Linked DNA regions of Rhinolophus ferrumequinum. The protein of the gene in region 3 purifies or fractionates together with the protein of the main gene of each other region. This does not show direct contact. Links are inferred from orthologs where the notes say so. Each region holds a gene or a part of one and is shown on either strand. Other genes may lie near its edges. The genes, in order: STX12, NSF, STX6 and VAMP8.

The links.
Region 1: the proteins of STX6 (region 3) and STX12 purify together in Homo sapiens (affinity purification with mass spectrometry; 4 studies listed by BioGRID and IntAct, counting the BioPlex papers as one, with this or other methods). This does not show direct contact. The link is inferred for Rhinolophus ferrumequinum from reciprocal best matches to the Homo sapiens genes STX6 and STX12.
Region 2: the proteins of STX6 (region 3) and NSF purify together in Homo sapiens (affinity purification with mass spectrometry; 3 studies listed by BioGRID and IntAct, with this or other methods). This does not show direct contact. The link is inferred for Rhinolophus ferrumequinum from reciprocal best matches to the Homo sapiens genes STX6 and NSF.
Region 4: the proteins of STX6 (region 3) and VAMP8 purify together in Homo sapiens (affinity purification with mass spectrometry; 3 studies listed by BioGRID and IntAct, counting the BioPlex papers as one, with this or other methods). This does not show direct contact. The link is inferred for Rhinolophus ferrumequinum from reciprocal best matches to the Homo sapiens genes STX6 and VAMP8.

The regions. Positions count from the first base shown.
Region 1 is NC_046292.1:19,033,088-19,040,252, forward strand, and holds the start of STX12 (syntaxin-12), read left to right. Parts: upstream 1-4,152; 5' UTR 4,153-4,222; coding exon 4,223-4,340; intron 4,341-7,165. UniProt on the Homo sapiens protein: SNARE promoting fusion of transport vesicles with target membranes. Together with SNARE STX6, promotes movement of vesicles from endosomes to the cell membrane, and may therefore function in the endocytic recycling pathway.
Region 2 is NC_046304.1:40,681,194-40,688,466, reverse strand, and holds the start of NSF (vesicle-fusing ATPase), read left to right. Parts: upstream 1-4,271; 5' UTR 4,272-4,376; coding exon 4,377-4,388; intron 4,389-7,273.
Region 3 is NC_046305.1:13,349,972-13,357,473, forward strand, and holds the start of STX6 (syntaxin-6), read right to left. Parts: upstream 3,015-7,502; 5' UTR 2,788-3,014; coding exon 2,753-2,787; intron 1-2,752. UniProt on the Homo sapiens protein: SNARE promoting movement of transport vesicles to target membranes. Targets endosomes to the trans-Golgi network, and may therefore function in retrograde trafficking.
Region 4 is NC_046296.1:8,755,599-8,762,436, forward strand, and holds the start of VAMP8 (vesicle-associated membrane protein 8), read right to left. Parts: upstream 3,013-6,838; 5' UTR 2,869-3,012; coding exon 2,866-2,868; intron 1,526-2,865; coding exon 1,367-1,525; intron 76-1,366; coding exon 1-75. UniProt on the Homo sapiens protein: SNAREs, soluble N-ethylmaleimide-sensitive factor-attachment protein receptors, are essential proteins for fusion of cellular membranes.

The DNA.
Region 1 (7,165 bases), on a different chromosome or scaffold from region 3:
ATTTATTTATTTATTTTTTAATTGGGGAAGGGGAACAGGACTTTATTGGGGAACAGTATGTATTTCCAGGACTTTTATTGGGGAACAGTGTGGTTTTTTCAAGGCCCATCAGCTCCAAGTCAAGTTGTCCTTTCAATCTTAGTTGTGGAGGGCGTAGCTGAGCTCCAAATCCAGTTGCCGTTTTCTTTTTTTTTTTTTCCAATCTAGCTGGGTGGGGGGAGGGGGGCGGCGCTCAGCCCACCATCCCTTGCAAGAGTCGAACTGGCAACCTTGCTGTTGAGAGCATGTGCTCTTAACCAGCTGAGCCATCCAGCCACCCGGAAGCTCAGCGGCAGCTCGTTCTCTTCACTCGAGTTGTTGTGGAGGGCACAACTCACTGGCACATGTGGGAATCGAACCAGCAAGTCTGTTGCTCAGAGCTCGCACTCTAACCAACTGAGCCATCTGGCCGCCCCCTAATTTATTTTTAATTGTAGTTGACATGAGCTCTAATTTTAATGCAGTCTTCTTTGCAACCTAAGTGAATTTCTCCATTGACCCTTCCCTACCTTTCCGCAGAAAGCTTGCCATGTTGGTTATAATGGTACTTTGTACTTAAAAGGTAAAACTTATTTACTGAAGTATAGCATACATACAGAAGTGGGCATTCATCACACATATCTGACTTGATGAATTTTCACAAAGTAAACACACCTAGACGATCACCACCCAGATCAAGTAAGGCTGCTACGAGCTTCCTACAAGTCTACCTCATGGGCCCATTCCTAGTCATCCCCTTTCCACCCCGGAACTAACTACATGCTGTTCTGACTTTTAATAATCTAGATTAATTTGGCTGGGTTTGAACCTAATAAAAAAAGGGATCATACAGGATATACTCATTTTTGTCTGGCTTCCTTTGCTGTACGTTATATTTGGATGAGATCACCCACATCATTCACATAGCAGCAGGCCATTTAATTTTATGCTCTATAGTACTACAATTTATCCATTCTGCTGATGGACAGTTGTTTCCAGTTGGAACTAGTAAAAAAAGAAATCCTGCTCTGGCCTTCTTCGTGCCTCAGACTGGAAACAATTTGAATGTCCATCCATAAGAAAGTGAATAATCAAATTGATAAAATACTATTTAGCAATAAAAAGGATCAAACCACTGATATATGCAGCATCATGGATAAATCTCAAAAAACATCCTTAATTCAAACAAGCCAAACACTAAAGGATACATAAAATATGATTTCATCACTCTGAAGTCCAAGAATAGTCAAAACTAATCTGTAGTGATGAAAATCAGAAAGTGATTTCTGTGGATAAGTGGAATTAATTAGAAAGAGCATAGTTCGAGGAAACTTGCTGGGGTGATGATGAAAATGTTCTATATCCTGGTTTGGGTGGTAGTAACCTGGGTATGTACAAGTGTCAAACAAAATTCATTGACTTGAGGGGTGGCCGGATGGTTCAGTTGGTTAGAGCACCGGCTCTTAACAACAGGGTTGCGGGTTCAATTCCCACATGGGCCAGGGAGCTGCGCTCTCCACAACTAGATTGAAGACAACGACTTGGAACTGATGGGCTCTGGAAAAACACACTGTTCCCCAATATTCCCCAATAAAAAGTAAAAAAAAAATTCATTGACTTGAACACTTCCTATCTATACATTCTATTGTATGTCAATTATGACTCAATAAAAATTAATACAGAAAAATGCCATTTAGTCCTAAAAAATGCTATTATGAACATTCCTATATTTGGTTTTCGGAACACATATGTGTGCATATCTGTTGATTATATAGTTAGGACTAGAATTGTTGAGTCATAGAATACGTGTGAATCACAGCTCTGTAGCTTCATATCTGTATCACATTGAGCAAGTATCCAGAACCTCTACAGAACACAAGTTTCCTTATCTGTTACCAAGGAATTAATCTCACCTTTATGGTGCAAACCATGAAAACTGTTTTTGTCAATTAACAAAAGGACATAATGCTGAGAAACTTTATTCTCTAAAACCACAGATTTTCAGAAAATGTGCTAATTGAAATATCAATAAGAATTGAATATTCCACTCGACTGGAGAATCTGAGTTACTCTGACACAGAGAAACAGCCTCAGTTTTCCAACCCAGATGCAAACCTTCAGATAAGGGCTTTCCAGGTACAACATTCCACGTTAATCTTCATGTTGTAGTTTCCAAGGAAACAGGATTTTGAGTCCTCTTATCAGCTCAGGCCTGATGAGAATCCCTTTACACATAGCCTGGTGTGCTTTGAGGCTATATCAAAACACCACATCTTTTCTCCAAATCCTAGAATAACTATCTCTTTCTGTGCTTGGCGGGATGCCCCATGATTCCTCTGGTGTGCAGTCTGCCTTGCAGCATTAAGTTAATAAACCTAACTTTGTCAGACCACAGGTGGTCTTTATCACATGGGCTTTATCTTGGGGATTACTGATAAATGTTTGTACAATTTGTTCACATTGCCTGGATAGGCATTTAAGAAATGGTAGTTATTTTTAATTATTCATCTATAAATCCGGTAAATGTTCATTTGACATCTAGTATTTGCAAGGTACAAATGTATTGCTATGAGAGATAGCATAAGGCACAGCCATCTTTTAAAATTAAAGTGGTTTAAAATTAAAACCACTTTTAATTTTAGGTGGAGAAAGAAAACAACAATAACCAATGTCTTCAGTTGCTAGGAGAAAAATACCTTTACTGAACTTCACTTTGCATAGAGTGAAATGTAAATGAAAACATTCTCAAGACTATTTTAGAGGTGAAAAAAAAGTACAATTTACATAATTTGCTGTAAGATTTGACATAAAACTATGGATTCTGAGAAATGGTAGGGTTTTAACCAGAATGAGAGCCCCCAAATGTCATCTGCCTCTTTTTATAGAGGAAAGAAAAATGCTCTTATAAATGCTCCAACGAAAAATAGAGATCGACTGGCTTATAAAAGCTCTAAAGCTGAAAGCAGGCTCATTCAACCATTTGGGGTCCCCTCCCACACAGGCAAGCAGCTTCCTCTCTTTACCATTCCCCAGAGATTACAAAGCAGGCTGGGCTGGGGTGGAGAACACAAGAAACAAACCTTGCCAGTTCCCCTTCACTTCTCCCTGTCTTGATCTCCCAAACTCATGTCTTTCCATTTACCATAAGCTCACAAAATGCAGTCTTCTGTGGGAACACTGAGGTCATATGCTCCAAATTACTTAAGGAAATTATTTTAAAAATTCGAGGGTCTAGTTCTCCAAGAAATCCTGGTTTGGGATATAAATGAAAACGTTATTTGGGAGGGATTTAGATGGAGAATGAATTTTGGAATATGAGAATGGGTTTTAGGAAAGTAGGGAGATGATGATGCAGTTAGCTTAGTGTTTGGGTTTTGCAGTCAGAAAAGCAAACTAACCTCTGTGGGCTTAATTTTTTCAATTGTAAAAGGAAAAATAATAACGCTTCCTTTGGTCAGTTACTTTATTTCAACATTTAAAAAATCGATTGTTCATTATCTATTCTGAAGGCAAAAATATAGTTAGGACATGGTCCCCTTGCTGTGAAAGAGCTTATGAACAATTGAATTGCAGTGAGGATTCACACATAGTACGTGATAAATCTTCTTATTATTTTATTGTTTGATTAGAAGAGGGGTGGAGGGAGAAATGAAAGTGGTTTGTAAATCGTAAAAGTGCTCCGCTACTAACAAAGCGGTAGGTAAACGAAGTACAGTGAGGAATTTCAGAAATTTGGTTACGGATCTGAGTTTCAACGTTATCATATACTCCCATATTTGGGCCTGAATTCTCAGAATAGAACAGAATAGGATGTTAAGGCTGAGATCATCTGGTACAATTTTATGCTAATCGAAAATTCTTGCCTCCTGTCACCGAGTCCTGGCGAGAAACAACACAGCCACCCCAGCTCCACCAATCCCAGCTTCAACGGTGTGACGTCATCGCCCCGCCCCGCATTCCCAAGGCCCAGGGCGTCCAGTCTCTAAGCTACCGTCTCTGGTCCCAGCGGCAGCGGCGCATGCGCACTGTGGGGCAGGGCGGGGAGGACGCGTGCGCGCTGCGTGGGGGCGGTGCTAGTGCGCACGCAGCCTCGGCCCCGTCCCTGCCCTTTTTCTTCCCGGTTTCTCCGTCACTCTGCGGTCCGGTTTGGTAGCTGCTTCCGGTAGGACCCCGGTGCAGGGCGAGTCGGTCTCAGCTGTTCGTCATGTCCTACGGTCCCTTAGACATGTACCGGAACCCGGGGCCCTCGGGCCCCCAGCGCCGGGACTTCAGCAGCATCATCCAGACTTGCAGCGGCAACATCCAGCGGATCAGCCAAGCCAGTGAGCCTGGGGACGGAGCTGGGGGGCGGGGGCCGTCCTGGGGACAGGCCTGGATGAGGCTGCCGGGACGCGGAGCCCGGCTGGGGCTGCGGCCAAGGCCACACCTGAGGCCTTCTCAGCCTTTCCAGTCTGGAGGCGGCGAGCTGCCATCCCGGAGTCTGTCAGGGCCGGGCTCCCCCGAGGGTTCCGAGCCCCGGCTGGAAGCTCGAGTCTCGTCTTAGGAGTTATGCCCTCACGGTGTTGGGGCATAAGAGCAGTGCTGACAGCCCCAGGTGGGTGGGGGTATGTGTGTCACCCCGAGAGCAGTCAGTAAGTTGACTTGGCGCAGTGGTCAGCCGAGTATTTCCTGTCATCTGCCTCCTCCCACCCCCGGCCCCACCTCTCTTTCCTCTTTGGCCAGTTTGCATCGGGAGTTGTTTACTGTTTGAGACTTTAGGTTTACATTCTGCTCAGTTTCTGGCTCCTTGGAAATCAGCAGCTTTCAATTAAGGGAAGTGGAGCATGGATGTGTTTGGATGACTTAATACACAGTTCTTCCTTTAATGAATTTGGAAATCAGATACAGTGATTTGTATTTGAGGAGTAAGATGACTTCTGTTTTAATAAAGAGAATTCACCGAAAACATTTCAATTTACATTATTTTGTCTCTTGTAACAAAATATCTGCATATATTTTTGGTTTTCAAGCTGATGGAGCTTTTGTTTTCCTTTCCTATTTAGCTGCTCTTGAACACATGTGATACAGAGAAGCTCAGGGACTTGGCCACAATCACATAGCAAGTAAGACGTAGTAGAGCTGGTGGTGGATTTCAGGATGTCATTGCTTGTCTTAAAATTCTGTCCCCACCAGTAGGGTCTGAGTGAGACTGGCTGAGTGAGTCAAATACAGGCTGTTTCTTTTGCCTGGAAATCAGCTCAGAGCCTTATCAGCAGGAGGTCAGCAGCAGCTTTACTTGGAAAAAACGGTCACCATCGTTCATGTTGTTTATTGTTGTGTTTTTGTGTACTTGGCTGTACTTTGTGACTAGGTAGACCTAGTTGGTCTTGAATTACAATTACGTTCTATATTTTAAAAAACAATCTTATCACTTTGCTTTTAAATTTAAATACTCTTATATGATGTAGAATTTGAGCAGCCGGAAGTTTCTGATGGGAGGGGATTGAGACTGGGTGATTTGAAAGTGGAAAGAAGAATATGTGGCCTGTTAAATCCAGAAATTAAAAAAAATAATATGACTACTGGTTAGAAAATACAATACTTTGTGTTCCAGTTATTTTCGTGTGTGTGAGGGAGCTATAATATATGTTAGATCAGAAAATTGAAGTTCAAGGCTAGAAGTTCTTTTGAGGCTAAATCTTATTTTAATGTCTATTTGTGAAATCATTCTACATATATTTGAGTATCAGGCTATGTAGTAAGTAGTATTGAAACTGCATGGATTGTTTCAAAAGGGTTTCTGTGGAGTACATAATAACTGAAATATAAAGTTAAAAGGGAGCAATGCTATAGAAGAGATATAAACAACATGTAGGTATTCGGGGGAGATAGAGATCATTTTCAGTTGGGAAGGGTCAAGGAAGGCATTATGGCATTTGAGCTAGGGCTGGAAAGATGCTGGGAAGGATTTGAATTTTTGAGGGTAAAGAACAGAAGAGCATTCCAGGAAGGAATAAAACGAACAAGGCCTGGTAGTGGGAAAGCATCGGGTATTATACAAAAGTAGAGTGATTTAATTTGGCTACAGTGGTGGACTTCAGAAAGTAATGGAAGAAGATAGGGTTAGAAAGGTAAGTTGGGGCCCAAACAGGATGGACTTTAAGTGCTAAACTAAAGGGGTTTGGATTTAATTCTTTAGGAATGTGTAAATTGAATTGGGAGAGAGACACTATAATCAGAGACACCAGTGAGGGACTGTGAAAATAAAAAGGAAGGAAAGGATTGGAGAGGTTTCTTTGTTGATAGAATTGATAAAATGTAACTGTTAAGTGGGCATTGGGCTCAAGGGATCATTGGAGTCAAGTGAGTTGACTTGGTGCAGTGGTCAGAGGAGTATTTCCTGTCATCTGTCTCCCCCGCCCCTTTGGCCAGTTTGCATCGGGTGTTGTTACATAATGTTAAGAACATTAATGTGGGTCCATACTGTGTGCCAGGCAGCATGAAAAATTATTTGCATGCATTACCTGACTTAATTTTCTAACAACCTTGCAAAGTAATTACCAATATTATTTCCATTGTGTAGGTTAGGAAACAGACTGAGAAAGGTTAAGTACTTACCCTGCTAACAAATGGCAATACCTGAATTTGAAACCACATCTCTTATGATCAGCAATTAACCTTTTTATAATTTTTAATGAGTATTACACATTTGTAGCAGTTACAAGTGTGTTGTTTTTTTTACTCTCCGTAGGAAACTATGAGGAATACCTGAGGCCGTCAAACTTTGTCCTCTTGTGGTGTGTCTGCCTCCCCTGTTTGATTGTTAGTTCTTCTGAAGCATGGGACATGACTTAACTCATCTTTATATTTCTAGTACTTATGTCAGTCCAAACATATGATAGATTTATTCATTCACTGTTCAGCAAATATTCTTTGAGCACCTGCTATGCACTGGTGGAGAAACAAGACAAAGAACAAGACAGACAAAATCCCTTCCCTGATCGTGTGTGTCTGTGTGTGTGTGTGTATATATATGCACACATGCAAATACTATGTAGTAAATCAGTACTATGAAGAAATAAAATAGGGCAAAGAGATAGAGAGACGAGAGAGAGGGTGGGTGTGCTCTTTTAGATAAGTTGGCCAAGGAAGGCCTCGCTGAGGAGGT
Region 2 (7,273 bases), on a different chromosome or scaffold from region 3:
GATTTCCAAGGCATAGATGTAAAGTTGTTTTGCCAGCAACTATGAACATTGTTTGAGTCATCCCCACCTGCAAAAAAAGGTGAAACAGCAAAGATAACGTTTTTACCTACTATTGTTTGTACCTATAGAAGGAATATTGGGGCTAGTAATAGGGCTTTATTCCTCCACGCCTCACAATCTGAGAATATGCATTGTTTTCCCAAGATATTCATCGTGCCTACGAATGAAACAAAGTCCCTACCCACATGACACTCATTAAAGGATTACAACCATATAAACAACACATACATTTTTATATACATTGTTTTAAATACAACATTGTGTATATATACATTGTATATATATACATATATACATATATACATATATATATATTTGGGAAATTGTATATAAAACAATGTATATATACAATGTTTTATATACAATTGTTTTATACATACAAATTTTTTAATAATAACATGCATGGGGAATACATAGGGGAGGACTAAAAGAAAATAGACCTAATTTATTGGTGACTGTATTCAAGAAGTGGGGTTGTGACTTCTTTTAAGTTACTGAAAGAAAATATTGTACTGATTTTATAATGCAAAACTCAACTTGCTTTTTCAAAAATACAAAACTGATGATTAGGAAGGAGGTTTAATTGAAATCATGAAAGCTGTTCAGGGGAAGTTTATCAAACTCAACTGTGGTGACTCAATAAAAATAAATTGCTTATGGTGATATTGATTCAGTGGGGTTTTTTTTCTTAATTGAAAACACTTCTTGTCAATATAATGTTATTTGTACAGCATGGAAAGTACAAAGTGCTCTTGGGAGAAGCAGAGATCATTTCACTCTGAGAAACATCTTATTTGGAGATAGTTCCCCATCTCTGAGTTAGACTGTACAATTGGTTAAGTGCTATTAGCATTAGTTATAGTACTCTTGGTAGTGGTAATATCTGCTGTGTAACCACTGGGTCGGGTGCTGAATGTGTTATGTATCTATGATAATTATCTAATTCTCACGTGACAACATTTGAGTTTATAGAGTTTAAATGTTGCACAGTATACCCAGAACACCTTCCATCAAGAATTACTGAACTTATCCCTCTATTCTGGTCACACTTCTGCTCAAGAGATGTCTTCTCCCTCTCTTGGAAAGCGCTGCTGTACATATTTCTTGCCCTAGAAACAGCCCTTGGGTAAACTTGCCCTTAGGAGAAAACTTAAGACATACCTGCACTTTTTCTCAGGGGCCCTCTGGAAAGCTGTCACAGGTAGCCAATATAGTCATCCCACTCAGCTATGGTTTGTGGGCCTCGAGTGTCTTAATGTTCTAGGAAGTGCAGCTACTCCCAGGAGACTCTGACTTCCTTTTCTCAAGATGCATAGAAGTTCATCAGGCCGATATCTGAATAATCTCTCTTCGGAGATGCAGGCAGCTCTCTGGACTCATGTTAGTATGCAGGGTTAGGCAGCCTGGCAAGTGCTTTGGGGCTTGCACTAAAGGATGGTCTGGTTTCCATAGCAACATTCATTCCTTTCCACGGAGGATTCTATCCTCTTGCCCACTCAGAATTTTCAAATAAATTGATTTCAGTGACTATGGGTGTTTGTCCATGATCCTCTAAAGAGAAAAAACCTATTTAATAATACTACTACTAAAAATAAGCCCAACAAAAAAAAACCTGACTGCAGCTAGAATGCTGCATTGCATCAGCTGATCTTCTGTTCTTTCACAATTCCATATCCTTTCTCCATTTTGTTCGTTCTCTAGCCTTATCCATCATTTTGGGAAATAGGTTTCTCTGACAGAAAACAAATAGATGGCAACGCTGTCTCCCTAAAACTGGCTAAGATGGGGCTGTAAAATGAAGTTTTCAACAAGGCTCCCTGAAAGCCTGGCCTTAGGGCAGGGGTGGCTAACCTGTGTGTGGAGGGGCAAGAATAAGGACTGCGATCCACTTACCGCTCACAATAGAGAAGTCAGTCTCTGAAATTTGGCAATTAGAGATTTGTTTCCTTAGGTTAGGCATTGCTCTCAGGCAGTACTCCTTAAATTGCATTTACTCCTGGGAAGAGTGATATATTAGGTTACTAATGCTAAAAGAACTTGGGAAAGAGAGGAGGTGGTGCAGAGCGAAGGGTACAAAGGGGCTCTGAAGACCACCTTTGTCTGCTTCACAGTGCCATCTTCTCCAACAGGGGTGGTGCAGGTCCTTGCCTGGGTTCTGTGCTCCCTCTCGGGAGGGCAGGGTACCTTGTCTGACAATACTTCCAAGGCTGCATGAACTGGGGGGAGCAGTGACCAGAAAAAGGGAGACAGCAAAAACAGGGGGACAATTATCATTGCAAGGGTTGCTCAGAAGGTGATGCCGAATCAGCTCCACTTTGTTTCTAAAACGACCTTGACTATCAGAGCAAGGCACAGATGGGATGGGCAGACATGTGATGACCTGGAGAAATGTCTCAGAATCTTCTCCAGCTGGATGCTAAGCACCTTAAGGACGGAACCTCCTCCGATTTCTTTAGTAGACACTGCAGGGCTGTGCACATCATTCTATTGCATTTATACAACTTGACAGAGGATACAAAGGGCTCCTTATTATGGGTAGATAAGCTCATAAACTGACACACAGGAACCTCTCCAGCAGACCCATCTTTCCTAAGTGATAAATATTACTCCTGGGTGGAGAGATTAAAGACATTTTCCCTTATAATTTAGTTTTCCTAGTAACAAACTTGAGGTATAAATACGTTTGCATTATTCTCTAGCCTTGAAAATAATGTCAGATCACTGAACTGAGAGCCAACGTCACTTTTTGGATTTGGTAATTATTTGAACAACAGCTCTTTGATTTCTAGATTCAAATTCAAAGTATCAAAAAATGTAAGACACAATCATTAAGTTCATCTAATTACTACATCTCTCACTTTACAAATAAAGAAACAGGGGCTCAGACAGGTGAAGGGACATGGCGAGTGACTTGCAGAGAAAGAGAAAGGGCAGAGAAAGAGAAAGGACAAGAACCTGACTCCCCATCCATCCTAATTGTTTTTTATCGCTTTGCAAGTTAATACGAGTGGATCAGAGTTCAAACAGTTCTTTCCTCATATACTTTCTGATCCACCTGTGATTTAGTTAACATCTGATTTGCCCAACAAAGCACTCTGGTTCTCAGGTACAGTGTGAGGGTTTACGAAACTGGCCTGAATATTTTCTTCTGTCTCTGGCCCATCTTCAGGTCACTTACTCATTTATTAGTTCTTAATTTTAAATTGCTAAGCATGCCCAGCTCTTCTAATTTATTTTTCTTTCCTTTCCTTATGCTGGGAAAAACTATTTTTTCTAATTAACTGTGAGAAATGAAAGATAATAAATCCTACCGTTTCTTATTATCTTTTGTAAATATGAAGAGAACTATGAGATAGCGGGGACAATAAAACCATCAGAGAACCCATTTGGCAGAATCACTCTTCTTGCACGATGCCATCTGATGATGACCAATTCTGAATTTCCAGGGAGGAAATGGTGCTGTAGAAAGTGAACAACATCGAGGTTAAAAACAAAAAGACACAATTTAGGGCATATTTCATTCAAAATCCACTACATATACTGCCTAAAATGAAACGACACTGGGGAATGACAAAGATTGTTAAAGACACAAATTACCTTTATAAATATTATATTTAATAATAAAATAAAATAAAAATAAAAATAGGAAATAATCACAACTCACTTTTAAATTAGAAGAATATTAACTAGTTTTCCAGGCTACACATAAGCTAAATACCTATATATGCCAACTCTGAGACTTTCCAGCCCCTAGGAAAACAAGTCTGCCTACAGAAAAAAAGCCTGAATTCACGCAGAATTTAAATTTAAAACCAACCATTCATTACTGCTCTTTCTTGGGGGCAGGCCAGTACCCGCGCTGGGTGCTCTTACATTTTTAAATTTCAGTGGGTCTGGAAGCATAAAGCTACATAAAGACCATTAAAGGGCAAAGAGCAGCGGGCAAAGAGATAAGCAGGGGCTCACTGATTAAAACCTCAAAGGCCTCGCTACAAAGTCAGGCGCAAATGGCCAGCTGTGATGAGATTCGAAAAAGAAGCCCTGGAGAGAGAGACTCGCGGGCGGAAACGTAGGCTCCAGAAATACAGTCACTGCACCCCCGCCCCCAACAGCTCCCGTTCAAAATGGCGCCCCCGCCCCACCCACCCCTGGCGGCCGCCGCGCCCGCACGCGCCCTGCGGGGACGCGGCCGGGCGCGCGCGCAGCATTACGGGGGCTGCGCGCCTGCGCGAGGCCGGGCGGCGGGCGCGCGCGCGGCGGGGGCGGGCTTTGCATAGAGCCGAGCAGCAGCGGCGAAGTCGGACGTGTCCGCGAAGATGGCGGGCCGGGTGAGTGCCGGCTCGCGAGCCGCGGCTAGAGGCGGGGGCGCCGGGCTTGCGGGCACTCGGAGGTTCAGACGGCCCCAGGAGAGGAGGAGTGGGTCTGAGCAAATGGCTTGTTGGAGGGGGCGGCAGGGCAGAGAAGGGCTTGAGGGCGAGAAGGGGGAGCGGTGGCAGGGGAATAGCCCTCCTCATACACTCCATCCCCCCAAGAAAGCTCCAGGGGAGGTGAATCCCTGGCTTTCCGGATCTCTCGCGTCTCCTTTAATTCTCCTTTTCCATCCCTTGGGGCTGTAACTCTCGTCCCTCAAGGCGGCCGCAGGATTGTGGCCGTCCCAGCCCCGTCTGATGGACTCTGGGGGTTTCTCAGTACCCCCTTGCGGGGGCTTATTAGGTGCAGCCTCGGAAATAACTGCGGGGGCTCCGACTGCTGCTTTGGGGCGAGAGCTGTGGGAAGGATCATTAGGAACCCATTTCTGGTTCTTCACAATAAAAGGTCTTGGGAAAGGAGGAAGGAGTGCAAATGACTTAGTGTTAAACCCCGGCCATCTGGGGGATCGCCACTCTTGGATCAGACAGGAATGCCTTCAGCTTGCAGTGGGGATTTGGGGTGTCGCGTTTTGCTTTTATGAATGACAGTCACTTCGAATGCAGCAGGATATGTTATAGTTTCAGGGTTTTAAATTTTACTTCCTCCTTTAGCTTGTAAGATCGCGGTGTAGTATGGGCTTTGGCGAGGGGAGATAGGGCTGGTTCAGCGCTGTACTGCAGTGTGCGTTGAGCTAAAAGCTCTCTGAGGGATGGATCCGTCCAGAGACTACACTCGTCATAAACCTGGGGACATTAACCTGCGTCATTAGGGGATAGGGATGGGCTTGACTGATTATGCTAGAATATTTGAATAAGTTTGCATAGATTTATGCATATATACAAATGTCCTACCTAAAGGAAATTGTCATGAGATTCCAGAATGAGAAGAGACCTTGAAGGTCGTTTATTTCGACCTTTCTCTTCCTTTTCCCCATAGCCTCTCCTTTTTATCTATGGCTATTCCCTCCACCTATGCTTCAGATTCTGTCTTTTCCCACCTCCTCAGGAACCCCACTCCTGTGTATTCACCTGCTCCCTCTTACTCAAGCTCCAACTAAAAGCAAACCCTTCCTCCACTTCCACAGCTGTCACCTATTCTCTTCCCACTTTACAGCCAGAGATGTTGACAGAACTGCCTCCACTTATTGTCTCCCATTTGTTTACCACCTACTCTCCATTCAACCCCCCACAGTCTGATTTCTGGCCCTGTCATCCCATTGACATGTGTCCCTAAACTTAATTGACATTTTTCATTCCTTGTCATACTTGATGTCTCAACCGCATGTGGCATTGTTGACCATTGCCTCCTTCATGGAAAACGCTCCTCTTATGGCTTCCGTGAAATCTTGCGCCTGTTTTTACTCATACACCTCTTTTGCAGACTCACCCTCCTCTGCCCGGTTATTCAATGCAGATATTCCTCAAGGCTCTCCTCACACTATTTTCTCCTCGGACAATCTAGTCTAAGCTCACAGCTTCAACGATCTATATGTCAATGTTTCTTAATATTTTACTCCCAATCCAGACCTATCCTTTAAGTTCCAGCTCAGTATGTCAGACTGCCTATTCGAAATGAAGGCATGTCAAATTCAGCTTGTTCAAATCCAAACCCATTATGTTAGCCCACCTAATGAGTGCTTTTCCTGTGTTTCCTATGTCAGCGAATGGCACCACCGTCCATCCACTATATAGGCTAGAAACCTGGGGTGGGGTGTCATTCTTTATACCTCTTCATCACATCCCCCAGTGACATCAGCACTGAGTTCTATTCCTCCCCCACCCCAAAGAAAGGTACTGAGGTCAAAGAATCTGGCTTGGGGCATTGCTGCTTTATCCTGTACCCACGTCAGCCACTGGGCTGGTCACTTGGGTTCTGTCATTTTAACATTCTAAACATCTCCAATCTGTCCACCCCTCTGAAGTCTTCATTTTCACTTCCTTTTCCCACACGACTATCATTTCTGGTATGAACTACTGCGGGAAGCTCCTGCGTGGTCTCCATACGTTATTCTCCACATCGATTATTCCTCCCATGTCCGTTAAACCCCTCCCTCAAGAGCATGCCGGTACTTTTGGGAGAAGACCAGATCTGTAACCGGGCCTGCAAGGTCCTTTGTGGCTCTGCCCCTGCTTCTCTATTTCCCTCCTTACTCTCTATGCTCGGGTTATAAGCCTTTCAGTTCTTTGAACCTACAGTGGTTTCTCTTAGCACCAGGTCTTCTCATGTGCTGTTTCTTTCTTTGTGATGTTTTGCTCCCAACCAGTTCCCTCCTCACAGATCACTCAGCTACTCAAGGGAAGCCTGTTCTGATCCCACGTTACAAGTCCGGATCCTTTGAATTATGCTCTTGAACTGTATTTCTTTTCTTAGAGATTTATCTGTTTGACATTTTAAATTTATTAGTGTGATTACTTGCCCCTATTATTAGAATTTCCCTTCCAGTAAAGCAGAGACCATGTGAGTTTTTGATTCACTGTCATCATCTGTGCTTTGCAAACTGCCTGGGACCTAGGTGCTCAGCACATTTTTGTTGAAAATGAATCTAATCTCTCTTTGAATACTCCAGTGATGGGGGTGCATCGCCTTCCATAAAGCTAGCTCATTTTACTGTCATGTTAAGATCTTTTTTATATGGAGTTCCATGTAACTTTTATACATAGATATTTCTACTGTTCAGACTTAGCTACATAGAACTAAACACAATTCCTTTTCCACATGATAGCTCCTCAGATATTTGAAGACAGGTTACATATTCCCTCCCTCTGTTTTGTAGATGTTTCTTCTAAGATGTGCTGAGTGGACA
Region 3 (7,502 bases):
AAGTAGGGAAACCCTTCTTAGAGTCCAGAAACTTACTCCTGTGCTACCCACATGGAGCTGTGAAGCCACATGTGCCTACTGAACGCTGGAAATTTGCTAGTGTGACTGAAGAACTAAAACTATAATTTAAATTAAACTTTAAAAACTGATATGCAATTCAGTTACCGGAAAATGTTTAACAATGTTGGGAACAATTTGGGTATATGAATCTCCTTTTCAACTATAAGTTTAATAAACACAGATCAAGTATTTCTGATGAAAATTTCACATCCAAATTGAGATGTACCATAAGTGCAAAATATATACCAGGTTTTGAAGACGTCGTACTAAAAAGTAAAATATCTCATTACTAATCTGTATATTAATCATATGTTAAAATATTTTGAATCTATTAAGTTAAGGATGACATTAAAATTAATTTCACCTATTTCTTCTTGCTGTTTAATGTGGCTACTAGGAAATGTAGAATGGCATATATGGCTCACATTATATTTTGTATAACACTGATCCAACAGAACCCAGGGCAGATGAGAGGAAAGAGACTGGGAGCAGGAAGACCAATTAGAGACTCTGGTAAGAGTCCAGATGAGACACAGGCCTGAATTATATAAATTCTACCCATCTTCAAAACCTGATTCAAGATTTACTACTACCTCCAAAAGCTTTTCCAATCATTACTCATCCCTAATGAGTCACCTTGCTCCAAACTCCTGGGTCACCCATCTTCTCTAGCATTCCCCTCAGTCCTCAATCATTTCCACTTGCTTTTGTGGGCAGTTATTTCTCAGTTTAGACTATCAGCTCCTAGGCTAAGGGCCACAGTTAGGTGTCTTTAATTTTTCTACATCGTGTGATGTGTTTTCAATACGTTTAATAAATAGAGGTGCAAGGCTCCTCGAGTAGTCTGTCACACATACAGTCTGACAGACTGTATGTGGCTAAATTTACCTTTGTACAGCAGAAGATATTGAGAGTCTCATTTCCTTCAGATACGTGAAGGGCAATAAAATGATGTCAAAATCAACCAAGACTCCAGGCCAATGTTCCAATACAGCAGTGATAGCTAATCAGTGAGAAAGCACAGACTGTCTTGCATACTCTCAGGGAAAAAAAAAAAAAAGTCCAGATGGCACAGCAATTTAGCATTTTCACAAATTCTATTAAAAATCAAGCAAACAAAATTTTTCTGATTCTCTCTGGTCTCCATGGCCAGAGATAACCTTTGCAACTTTCATTCAGGGGGAAAACACACAGTTTTAACATTTAAAAGTTAATCCCTAAATCGATTCTAACAAATAACACATTTTCCGGGTAGAGAGCCACATATTACTAAAAAATCTACAATTCGGCATTTTCCCACCTACGTTAAAGGACAGTGAGGTCGAAGGGGGATCCAAGATGGTGGAGTAGATAAATGCTGTGCTTGCCCCCTTCCGTGACCACATTAAAATTACACCTAAATTATAGAACAATCAACCTGCAGAACCACCTGAAGTCTAGCTGAACAGAAGTTCTATAACGAAGGCTATAAAGAAGAAACCATATCAAGACTGGGGAAACAATTAAAGTAAGGTGAAGAAAAACCTTTTTAGGGAAACATTAAGAAACGTATAAATATATTTACTGTATCATAGATAATAAAGTATTTCACCTAAAGCACCATTTAAATTTTCTAAGAACCCTTACAAAAATAAATAAACACCCAGGTACCTGGTCAGCTTTCACCACTCCCCAAATAGGAAGTAAGCAGCAGCTATTTGAAAGCAAAGGGACCCTTTATGATTTTCAGTATTGATCATCTAGGAACTTTGTGGTTCTCAAATTTATGTTTGACATTTAAAACATAAAGTTGACAAGTGGTAACAACGTAAGAATCCATCTTTCTTGCATTTGTTTAATGGCTACAAAACCGATACAGTAACAAAGTGCTATTAAAGTTTCTATCGCCAAACAATCCAACAATCAAAGATGGAGTCAGGACAGCTCAAAGGGAAAAACAAGTAGGGAAACCTGTCAAATAGCCTGGATGAAATCAGGGAGTTGAAAAGAAAGCACTCGTTTCCTTTCGCACTGTGGGAAAATCCCGGTGCTAATAGGAAGCCGAGGGAAGTTTAGTTTGGCTGATTTCATTTTGTTTTCCTTCCAACATCATCACTGAGTATGAACGATTGCTTTCCTCCCCTCCCATTACTCAATAAAAACTCCCCCACTGAATTGAGCTGTCTTCCGGAGCTATCCTCCCCAGCCTCCCAGCCTGCAAACGTGCCTGGACGCCTCCGGGCCGGTTGTGGTCCCACCAGTCTGCCGGCCAGCGCTCCGATCTCAATGGACAATGGGAGCTCACCCCCGTCAACACCAACTACAAAGCTCAGGAGGGCCATTTCCCTTTTCCTGCCCAGATGCTGTTTTCCCTCCTTCGAAGCAGGGCCTCATGCTCCACTAGAGCTGGGACCCGCGTCTTTCTACCCACCTGCAGAGCTGCTGAACTCCTCGACCCCCAAATAAGTTACACCGCAGCGCACAGGCCAAAGGGGACCCCCTCCCCAGGTTGGAGGCACGGATTTCACAGTGCAGGTAGACGGGGAGGGGATGTCTCTGGACTCTTGGTCAAGGCTCTGAAGGCTAAGCCGTCCCCACAATCCCCTCCCCAGCCTCAACTTGTCTCCCCTCCCCCTCCAGCAAGGAGAGCGGGGAGGTGCGGGCAAGCAGCATCGCCACCTCCTCCTTCAGTGGAACTCTCGGCGACACTCACCCTTTCACCACAAAGAAGGGGTCCTCCATGGACATGGCGTCCCGGCCCCCAGCCGCCTCACGCCCGCTCCACGCACGGGGCGCCCGCGCCCTCCGATCCTCCCTCCGCCCACCCGACGGGCCTCCCGCAGCCGCCGGCGCCTCAGCCTGGGGATCCCAGAGCAGCGGGCGCGCGCAGGCCGGGGTGATGCAGCCCGCGGCTGGTCCAGCACTCGGTGGGATCGCAGATCGAATCCCAGACTCCGGCGCCGGCCCCCGCAGCTGCCTCCTCCCCCAGCTCCTCCCGCTGGTCCGGCCGGCCTGACCCCGCCCCCGCCCACAGCCTCGGCCAACCACGAACACAGCCCGCTGCACCACTTCCGCACCCGAGCTCACGTGACCAGGACCTGCCCCCGCCCCCGCCCCGTCGTGGGCGGAGCCTAGGCAAGCGTCGCTGGACCCTGGAGGCGGGGCTCTAGGAGCGAAGGAGAGGGGCTGGTCTTCTCTCAACCCGCCCCTCAGGATTCAAGGGGAGGAGCCACCTTTTCTCTCCGAGGAAGACAGGTAGGTTTTCAGGATGTGAGGTAGTACCTGAATTGCACAATCCTTATAACTTTTCTCTACGTACTTTTAATACTTGCTTTTGATAACATATAAATCCATCTCGTCCTCGACTTACCGTAAAGCGTGCTCATGTACATGATCTAATTATGACAATGTTGCACAATTCCTTTAGGTCTTACTATGTGTCCAGCAACGGGATAAAGGCTGTTTATGCATTATCTCAATGTATCGTGTAGGGGACGAGGTATTCTTATCCCCATTTTATAGAAGAGAAAAGTTCAGAACGGTTTCAAGATTTCCTGTAGTCACACAGCCTGGACAGGGCAGAGCCCCAGGTTCTGTCCACCTTTAACCAGACTGGCGTGTATTTTCTTTTGCTGTGTATTTTGCAAGTAATTAGTAAGGTAATTTTTTCATACGGCATATGGTGCTTCCCAGGAGAGAGCACCTTTGAGGGACAAAGAAGGGGCCAAGTATGGCAACCTGCTCTCAGCTATGGTTCAAGAACTCTTCCCAAAGCATTTTGGTCAGAACAATTAGCCAACTCTTATGCTAGATGTGCTATGTGAGTTGTTAATTTCAATTGCTGATAATCACTGAGCAGTTACTGTGTGTCAGGCACTGTGCTGTCATCTCAGTTGCTCGCACAATGAGGTAATTACTGTTCGTATCCCCATTTTACAAATGAGAATTCAGACTCTTGGAGGTTATGTGACTTGCCCAATGTCACCAATCTTTTTGGAGTTGGAAGAGTCCTTTGAGCCAGACAAACCCTGTTTGAACCAGGGTTCTATTATTCAGTTCCTCATCTATAAGAGGTGAAGAAGAATATTTACTTCATGGGCTGTTATGAAGGTTAAATGAAAATGCAGGTACACGCCCAAGACCCCAACGGAGTAAGGTAGTGAAATCAGGGAAACCAGTCCGGAAGCTGCTGTGCTCACCTGGTCTGAAGGGATGAGGACCAGACCAGGATGAATCTGACAGATGTTTCCAAGGAAAAACAAAACAAAACACCTAGACATCATGAGAGATTGAATGGGGTTAGGGAGGAGACAGGTGTAAGTGCAGGCTTCTCGGAGACCTGGAGGACCAGTGGGGAAAAGAAACTATCGGGAGAGAACTGTTTATTTGGCTATGGACATATTGAGATGGGAAGGTGGAAAAGGATCATCATCTTTCATTCCTTCAACAAACACATGTAAATTGAGGGGCAGATCAGCATAGTGACTACGAGCCACACTTGGAGCCAGATTGCCCGAGTTCAAATCCCAATTCTGCTACTTCCTGTTCTGTCTTGAGCTTCCTCTCTCACTGTCCTGAAGTAGACACCATAATAATGCCTTTTGCATAGGGTGTCATGAGGATTCAATGAATTGATGTGTGAAAAGTGCTTAGCACAGTGCCTGGCACGCGCTGTGTGCTCTTACTATGTGCTAGGTGCTGAAGACACAGAGAAGAACAGCCTTGGTCCTCACTGTGAAAGAACTCTCAGACCGGTGAGAAAAACAGGCAGTTACACACAATGAGAGAAGGGCACAGGTTGCCATAGAAACACAAAGACAAGATACCAATTTGGGGGGGGTTGTTTCTAAGCAATGACTGGAGGCAGCCAGGAGACTGCATTGCAGCCTGTGGGGGAGCCACGGCAGAGGGTGATGCTGGCATGTAAGGAACAGGATGGTGACAAGAGGCGCTAAGGCTGGAGTCTGACAAGGTCAGATGATCAGGGCCCTTGATTATGATGTTAAGAACTGTAGACACTCTCCTACAGATCATGGCAGCTGAGGGAATTGGCAGGGTCAGACTGGCATTTGAGACAGACACTGTGGTGACTGGGAGGTCAACTGGGAGGTCATGGTCTAGAGGAGGAGAGATGAGGGTGTCTTGAGATAGGCTCATGGCAAATAGGATGGAGAGGAGGGATGCTTTTGAGAATACGTTAAAGGCAAAGTCAGTGGACTTGGTGACTGATTGGTTCAGGGTGTTAGGGGGTTGCTGAAAGCAGAGGGAGGAAGACTTGCAGGCCTTTCTGGAGTTGGAAGTACGTAGGTAGTTGTTAGTCCCAATCACCAGGAAAGAGAACACAGGAGGAGAATTAGATGGAGGGTGGATGTAAATTAGCTGCTAGCACGTTGGTTTTTCTCACTGAACTAGAAGCTTCTGGAGGGAGGGGAGAATATTATTTTACCTCAATGCGTAGCATACCCTCTGGTTATCTATTCCATGAGCTTATTAGTTAAACCACAAATGAGAGGTCAGAAACAAAGCAGAAGCATAGAAGATAGAGGACAGAGGCTTGGAGAATTCTCATAATAAGGGATTTGTAAAAGTACCAGCAACAGACATACTGGAGGGTTGAGATATGAAATGTGTGTGGGAGGGTATGGGGTGTCCCTTTAATGTCACCCTCCTTCACCCTCTCTCAACCCAAACAAGACATTGGCCTCCACTGCCCCGGGAACAAGGAAGCTATAGTTAAAATGCAAGCATCTTTTCATGGGCTTATTGAACATTTGTATATCTTCTGTGGAGAAATGTATTGAAGTTTTTGCTCTTTTTTTAATTGGGTTGTTTCAGATTTTGTTGTTGCTGAGTTCACCCTGCATCCTTTTTGAAATAACACTGAGTAAGGGAGAAAAGTGTTGCATAGACGTTAGGTATTATACTCTTCATCATTATCTCAGTCTTTTAAAAACCCTGAAATACATATGCGTGCTCTGGAATACTCCAGGAAACATTCGCTCACATTGGCTTCCACTGATCCAGCCGTGGCTGTCTGCGTTTCCCAGCCCCAGCTACAGAAAGTGTCCATCCACACACCGACCCACACACACTGGTTATGTTTCCTTCCCTCTCCTTGGTTGCTACCAGCACCTCTATCCTTACCCTCTACACACTGGTTTAAAATAAGGAGGAATTCTAGTCAACTTATATATCCAACACTAGAAAGTGATTAAGAGTTTATGAAAAATCCATTTGATGGTCATTAGAAACGTTATTTTGAAGTATGTAATGACATGTATGGAAGATTGCAAGACAAAATTGTATATATGATATCATTTCAACTCTGTTCATTTTTATACATAGAAAAAAAGAAATGTATTTAAAGTTTAGCATAATGAAATGTTTACCTGGATCATCAGAAATACAAAAAATAAAAACATAAAAATAAAAAATAAGAGAAGTGAGAAAGTTGTGGCCACGTATGTGAAACTACAACAAAAGTTAGCAGTTTTAAATGATTAATTTTAGAGTCAGGCAAGTTAGAAATGTATAAATGAATGGATATTGGCAAGTATTAAAAGTTAAAATATGTTATTGGAATTCAGTGAAATTCTTGACGAAACAGTGAATTTGAACCAGGGTAGGAGGACAGTTATGCTCTTTACGATCTCTATGAATTTGTTGGTGTGCAGGGAAGGAACAACCACACTCTGGTGGTGAAGTAGTGAATAACAACAGTAACAATGATTGTTAACAATTACTTACTACGTATGTAGCAGACATTGTGCTGAGCAACATACATACATAACCTTCAGAAGTGGCTCCAGAATTTCTCCATAGGGCAGGCTTTAGAATTTAACTTAAAGTTCAGACGGCAGGGCGAGGAGGCTTGAACTGAAGTTACATGGCAGACCCACTGTCTTTTCTTAAATTAGAGGTTTACTTGGGATGGCTCAAGAGGACTACTGGTGATTATGTGTATGTGATAATAGTACTGTGAAATCCCAACAAGTGACAAGTCTCTTATTGCTGCAATAACAAATTACCACAAACTTAGCGGCCTAAACAACACAAATTTATTCTCTTATAGCTCGGAGGTCAGAAGTCCAAAAGTGGGTCTCACAGGCTAAAATCAAAGTGTTGGCAGGGTTGCATGCTTGTGGGAAGAAGCTGTTCCTTCTCCATCCTGTTCTAGAGGCTGTCTGCATTCCTTGGCTCCCTTCCAGCAATGGCACGACTCCCACCTTGCTTCCAAGGTCACATCTTCCCTGATTCTGACACTTTTGCCTGCCTCTTATAAGGACCTTGTGATGCAAACCTAGGTCCCTGAACCAAGGCCTTCCTCATGGCCTTGCCTCCACTCATCTCTCCCACTAACCTCCACTTCCTTTTTCTTGTCTGGGCCTGTCCTCCAGCTCCCTGGACAAACTTAAGCTACTGTTTCCCAACTTGTCATGCTCTTCCTAATGACAGTGTAGTCG
Region 4 (6,838 bases), on a different chromosome or scaffold from region 3:
GAGGACAATCATCTTCACGTTCTTCCACCAGAACTTCCGCGCCACCTTCTGCGATGTTGTCTTGAAGTGCTCGGACTGTAGGGGATAAGGTAGAAGGACTCAGTGCCTCCTCCCACTGGAACAAGAGTCCAGACAGAGGCCCACATGCCATACCCCTAAATATTGAAGTGGTAAGTTCAGACAATAGGCTGTTGAATAGAAAATGTCCTGTCTTCCTACCTTGACAAATGTACCTTCATAACTATCTGGTGGGCCAGGTTTACATTTAGAATTCTTGGGCTCCCCTTGGCCCCCTGCCTACCCTCTACTCTTCTTACCCCTGCACTGTCACACACACTGAGAGGCTTTTTACACATGCTCACACCCAGGGGTGCGACACTGGCAGCACAATCTGCTCTTAGGAGGGCAGACACTGGGGCTGAGGGGGATAGGCCCCAGGTGGGTACGTGTGTTCCCTGGTTCCAGGATTCCTTGCCCCATGGGGACTGTTGAAGTTGGAGGAGGGACCAGGGCAATACAGTGGTTGGAAGTGAGGGAAAGTGCTCTTCCTCTCCCAACTGGAGTTGCAGAAACTATATTTCACGGGGCCATCCGTGCTCCCCAGGTTAGGCTGTGGAAACACGCATAAGTCCCAGGGAGACAAAGGAGTTATGCTCAAGATTACACACAGGACTCCGAAGGCTGCAGCCAGTGTCTCCCTGCGGACATGGAAACTTAGGCTGCAGCCTCTGTTGGACTTTAGAGTTACTCCCTCCCTCAGCAGCTGGCTTGGCTTCAGTCCCTGGGTGGGCAGAGGGAAGAATGAGTCTAGCAAAATGTGTAGGAGATATTATTCTAGCTTTCAGCTAGCAGAGGACCCCATCAAAGAATTTCACTGCTCTTCCCAGCTTTTTCTTTTTTTAAGCTGACTCAGCAAGACTCTAGCAGTTTTCCACCCCCTGCCTAATAACTCCTGGAGAAGGCCAAAGGCCCTGGGAGGATTTTCCAGAGCCAGTATTTTGCCCTGAGGAGGTTATGTTCACATGATTGTCAAGGGCAGCCTTCAAAGGGAAAATCAGTTTCACAAGAGAGAAACAAACCTACAAATGCCTACGTTCACTGCACCATCTCTCTGTCTCAGAAAATGCCTCCGTGGGTCAGCCCCTGACCCCCAGCCCCAGTCATTGGACCCATTCCCTGGAAGCCAGTACCAATTGGTGGAGTAGGACAGGATCAGAAGTGGGGACTCAGCTTACATCAATTCCCAAAACAGGTGAACAGGCAGACTTCCCAATTGTTCATTTTGCCCCCAACACCACCAACCCCCAAATTCCCAAAGATCCTCCCTCCCTCTCTTCCTCTTGCCCCCATGGGCTCCCCATCTCACTGTGGCTTCCAGATCCTCTGTCTTATTGCGGAGATGGTCCAAGTTTTCTCCTCGGGCTAGGATCCGCTCCACATTCTGGGTCATAATATTCTTGACTCCCTCCACCTCATTCTGCAGGTTCCGCACTCGATCATTTCCTCCACCTCCACTGGCCTCCTCCTGGGCAGCAACACAGGGGTTAATTAGGCCAAATGGTGGAGGAACAGAGACTCAGCATCAGAGCCTGGAAGAGGGGAAGGGCTAAGGTAGACTTTAGCTTTTTGTAATGCTTGAACTGTTTACAAAGAGAATGCTTTCATGGACAACTTACAAAATCAAAAATAAATGTATTTTTAAGTCCCGATGCTAGACCAGATCAAACTTCTTTTCAGACTCTCAGGGCTCCTGACAAGGAGAAGAAGCACACCACCAAATCCCTTTCCATTGCTTCCTTACTCGTCAAAGAGGAACAGAGAAGACAGCTGAGCTGCATGGCACAATGCAGAACCCCACCACTAGTTAACCAATTCCCAGATCCCGCCGGGTCCTCCCTGGACACGTCTGTGCTGGCCAGTAGAACCCCCTCACCTGGCCCAACCCTCTGTCTCTCGAAGAGAGCAGCTGGAGAGCTGAGTCTGCCAGCGCCTCCCGGGGAGCCTAATTCCTGTGACCCCAGAGGACCAGCGGCCGGCGAGGCTCCCTGTCCCTCTCAAGGCCCCATGAGAGAGATCCGTTGGGCCGCAAACTTCTGCTTTCCCAGCCGCACTTAGCACCATGCGCAGGCACCAAACCATCGCCACTTAAGCAGATATTAAATAAAAACAGCAGTCTGGGCGTTGGGGGAAATGGAGGGCAAGTCCTCCCTGCTTAATGCCTCAACCCGAGACTTCCTAAGGTTTTAGAACAGGGAAGGGGAAACGTTACTAAGCTCCTCGCTTCCCTGATCCACTGGATCTCCAGAAACAGGCTAGGGTGTGGGTCCAAACTAAATTATCACAGAGAGCCGACTTCTGGTTCTTTTACAAACCCTTAGCTCTTCCTCAAGTTTATGGAAAGGGGGCCAATTCCTTGGACTCTTCCTTGGAGAGATAAACTTTAGGTTTCCCTACAGGGATGAAGTGAACGGCAGAGGGGGAGAGCGCTGGCCGCTCGGCTGGAATCTGCGCTGGGAACAGTAGAGGCGCTGCCTAGGAATTTCACAACGCCCAGTTGGCCCAGGGCAGGAGGCCTGGAGGAGGCGACGAAGGGCCTCTCGGCAACTCCTTGCCTGGAATTCGGATCCTCCACCCGCACCGAAACCCTGCTCCAGGCCAGCACTGAGGTCACGGGAGGAAGGGAGTAGAGAAGGATCAGGAACAACAGCTTGGGCAGCCCAGAGCTACTTGCAGCTAGTTGTCAAAGAGAGGCCACAGTCAGCGCTGCCCCAGCCCTCGGACTTGCCATTAACTCCACTTTCCTGATCCCCAGCCCCTTCTGGCTCGTCTTTAAATCAGCCCCTTCCTAGTTCCCAGCTCACTCACCATGTTTCAGCGTCTCAGGCCTGTCAGCTGTAGAATTCGCCTAGTCTGTTTCCTCCCGGGGCGGCCCTCAGTTCACTTCCTGCTTGCTCCAACTTTCAGCCCGCCCCTTGCTCACCTCGCATCCCATGCCGATCCAGCCACACCTTACGCGGGTTCCCCCAGGTAGGCGGGCACCCTTCACTGCCCTCCCAGTCTCCTCCCAAAACGGGGCTGAGGCTTAAAGCAACAGGGCTCCCCCGCACCCGAAGTCTTCTAACTCGTCAGGAACTAGAAAAAAAAGAGGAAACAGCCCTCCCAGGTTTTCTGAGGCTGGACCCCCTGATATAGAAAGGGCAGCCGGCTCCTTTTTTATGTCCTGAATATCTGACCCCAATTTTTAGAGACTGAACTCAACTGTAAGCACCATGCCAGGCCTACTTCACATGGAAGCAGAAAGGAGATATAAACATTGCTTGCTGGACAATCCTTGCTTCCACGTCTGTGGGTGGACAGAAAGCAGTAATCCCCCCAAAGTCTGGAATTCTGTGATCCTGGGCTCAAGTGTCAGAAAGCTCTGGGTTACTCGCTGGGTGACACTGTGGTGAATGAACCTGTCTGGGTTTTGCAGGTACTAAGGAGATCTCAGAGTGCGATGGAGAGGAGTAAAAGGAGAGTCCCTGCAATGTGTCTAGCCCAGGGCCTGGAATGAAGGACTGTCCACTGCGAGAATAAGAACACGATGGCGCACCAACCCCTCCTTTCCTTCCAGAGGTCAACAATCTTGCATTTCTCTCAGGGGCCACCACTACCAGGGTTGGTAAGTCCCGTCAAAAAAGGTGAGAAGGCTGCCCTGTGGAATAGAGAGGGGGCCCAGGGCAAGGGATTTCCACCTACCTGGCTCTAGGCCAGAGAAAATTCACTTTTCCCGGATGGTATTTATCAAGATAGAACAATAACAGGGACATGCAGAAAGAGAGAAACATACCTGTCCCATCTCAGAAATAACAGTTCCAAGAGGAAAATGTCAGCCTTTCTAACAAATACTTTTTAAAGGGTCTAATAAGTTTTGGGCCTCTGTAGCACCTTGAGACACTTTTTTCTAATTTCTAATGAAATCTTATACCCAATTAAATAAGATTCTTATGTTTTGCAGACATGAATTTTGGTGGACAATCCCAGCCTGCTCTCACAGAGAATGTGGCCTGTCCCACTCCTCACCATCCTGAGAAAGGCTACAGTGTGGCCAAGTGGAGGCAGGTCAGAAATCTTGATCTTCATTTGTGTTGTCCAATACAATACAGTAGCTACTGGCCACATGTAGCTGTTGAGACTTGAAATGGATCTGAATTGAGATCTGATGTAAGAGTAAAATACACACAGGATTTCAAAGACTTACTATGAAAAAAGGAACATAAATATCCCATTGGTAATTTTGTATATTGATGACATGTCAGTTAATGTTTTGGATATACAGAGGGTGCCCAAAAATGCATACACATGTTAAGAAAGGAGAAAACCGTATTAAAATTGTAATACTCAATATATACCGATAACAAAAGATAAATACAAGTCATGTGTATACATTTTTTTGGCACCTCAGTACTGTTAAATAAAAAAAAATTGATAAAATTAATTTCACCTGTTTCTTTTCTCTTCAATTTGGCTAGTAGAAAATTTTAAATTACAAAAGTGCACAAATTATATTTCTATTACACACATTGATCTACGAGGTCTGACAATTAAGTTTATAAACTTGATGCAACGATGTTGCTAACGTTTTTTGATATCAGAGGACTTATTCATTATGAATGTGTACCAACTGGACAAACAGTTAACCAAGTTTACTATTTGGAAGTGCTGAAAAGTCTGCATGAAAAAGTTAGATGACCTGAACTTTTCGCCAACAATTCATGGCTCTTGCTTCACAACAATGCACCAGCTCCCACAGCACTGTCTTGTGAGGGAGTTTTTAGCCAGTAAACAAATAACTGTATTGGAACACCCTCCCTACTCACCTGATCTGGCCCTCAATGACTTCTTTCTTTACCCAAAGATGAAAGAAATATTGAAAGGAAGACATTTTGATGACAGTAAGGACATCAAGGGTAATATGACGACAGCTCTGATGGCCATTCCAGAAAAAGAGTTCCAAAATTGCTTTGAAGGGTGGACTAGGTGCTTCAAAGATCACTCAAAATTAGATGATTCCATTAAGTTCAGCATTTATGGTCTGTTATGTACCAAGAACTGGACAAACTACAGAAACAAACTACTATGGAAACAGTAGTAAAATATAGAAATAATAGAATAATAATAGAATGTAGAAAGTATTAAATGAAGTTCAAAGTGCTATAGTAGCACTGAGAAAGACATGAATTATGACTGGAAAAATCAGAAAATAGGGGAAGAAGAATATTAACAGCCAGCAATCAGGCAAACTTTGGGGTACATTGGTATATATCCCAGTCTTCTGTGCCAAGGCTGAAAAACCCTATCTCCCTAGGGAAGTGCAATGCCTTCAACAGCGATTAATGGACAATCCCCAAATCTGTATCTCCAGTCCTGCCCTCTCTCCAATTGCCATTGCTGCCTCTCCAATGCATTGGACAGTCCATAGCCAAACCAACTCCTTTATCTTCTCCTCGTATTCTTCCTCCTGGGGAGTAAGTACTCATAGTCTACCAGTTTCCCAAGCTAGGAATCCCTAAGCCATCCTACACATGCAATGACATCCTACACATGCAATGACATCCTACACATGCATGTCTCTCATATCCACCCCCTCCTTTCCAGCTCTTGCTTCCTGGGTAACGCTAGCATGATGTCATCTCTGGACAATTCCATCCACCTCCAAACTGACCTTTTCTTTTCTCCTCCATTCCACTTGTTATCTTCCCAAAACAAAGATTTGAGGATACTCCACCCTGCCTCCAGGGTAAAGCCCAAACTCCAAAGCTTGGCATTCCAAGACTGTTCTCAACATGCTTTTCCAAACTGATCTCCCTTGTGACTCACCTCCCAGACCCCAGTCATACCAAATTACACACCCTTCCCCAAACACACCATCCGCTTTTATAGCTTTGCCCAGGTGGACCTTTCTCATGATGAGTGAATATTCTGGTTCACTCATCACTGTCCACAGAAAATCTATTCATATTTAAAACATTGCTTCCAGGGGCGGCTAGGTGGGTCAGTTGGTTAGAGCACGAGCTCTGAACAACAAGGTTGCCAGTTCGATTCCCACATGGGCCAGTGAGCTGTGCCCTCCACAACTAGATTGAAGACCAAGGAGCTGCCACTGAGCTTCCAGAGGGACGGCCGGATGGCTCAGTTGGTTAGAGCGCGAGCTCTCAACAAGTTTGCCATTTCCCGCGTGGGATAATGGGCTGCACCCCCTGCAACTAAAGATTGAGAATGGCGACTGGACTTGGAGCTGAGCTGCGCCCTCCACAAGTAGATTGAAGGACGACTTGGAGCTGATGGGCCCTGGAGAAACACACTGTTCCCCAATAAAATTTATTAAAAAAAAAGACATTGCTTCCATGAAGCCTTCCTGCTTTCCCCACTGAGGTTGACTTCTTCCTTCTGATCTCCATCAACATTTTATCTTTTATAGAATCTATAATATGCTTTGCCATTAACTGATACATACTTGACTCCTCCAGGATTCTAAATTCTGTGAAAGCAGGGGCTATCTTTATTTTGGTACCCCTCATAGAAAATAACATATACCCTGCACAGAGTGGGCACTCACTAAATGCTTGGGGTATTGAATTGAAAGATCTGAAAGAGGACTTCTTTCTCTGCAGTGCAGACAGAAAAACAATTTTTATTAGAAGAGATCCATGAAGAAATTTCTTACCTAAATTTTGGACTATTTTATTGTTAAATGAATGCTAATGCCGTGAGTCTGTATATTCATCCTGACAGAGTAACTGGAGACCAACCCCTCGAACAAAATCAAGTTAAAATCGTGAGATGAGAGGCGTTCATT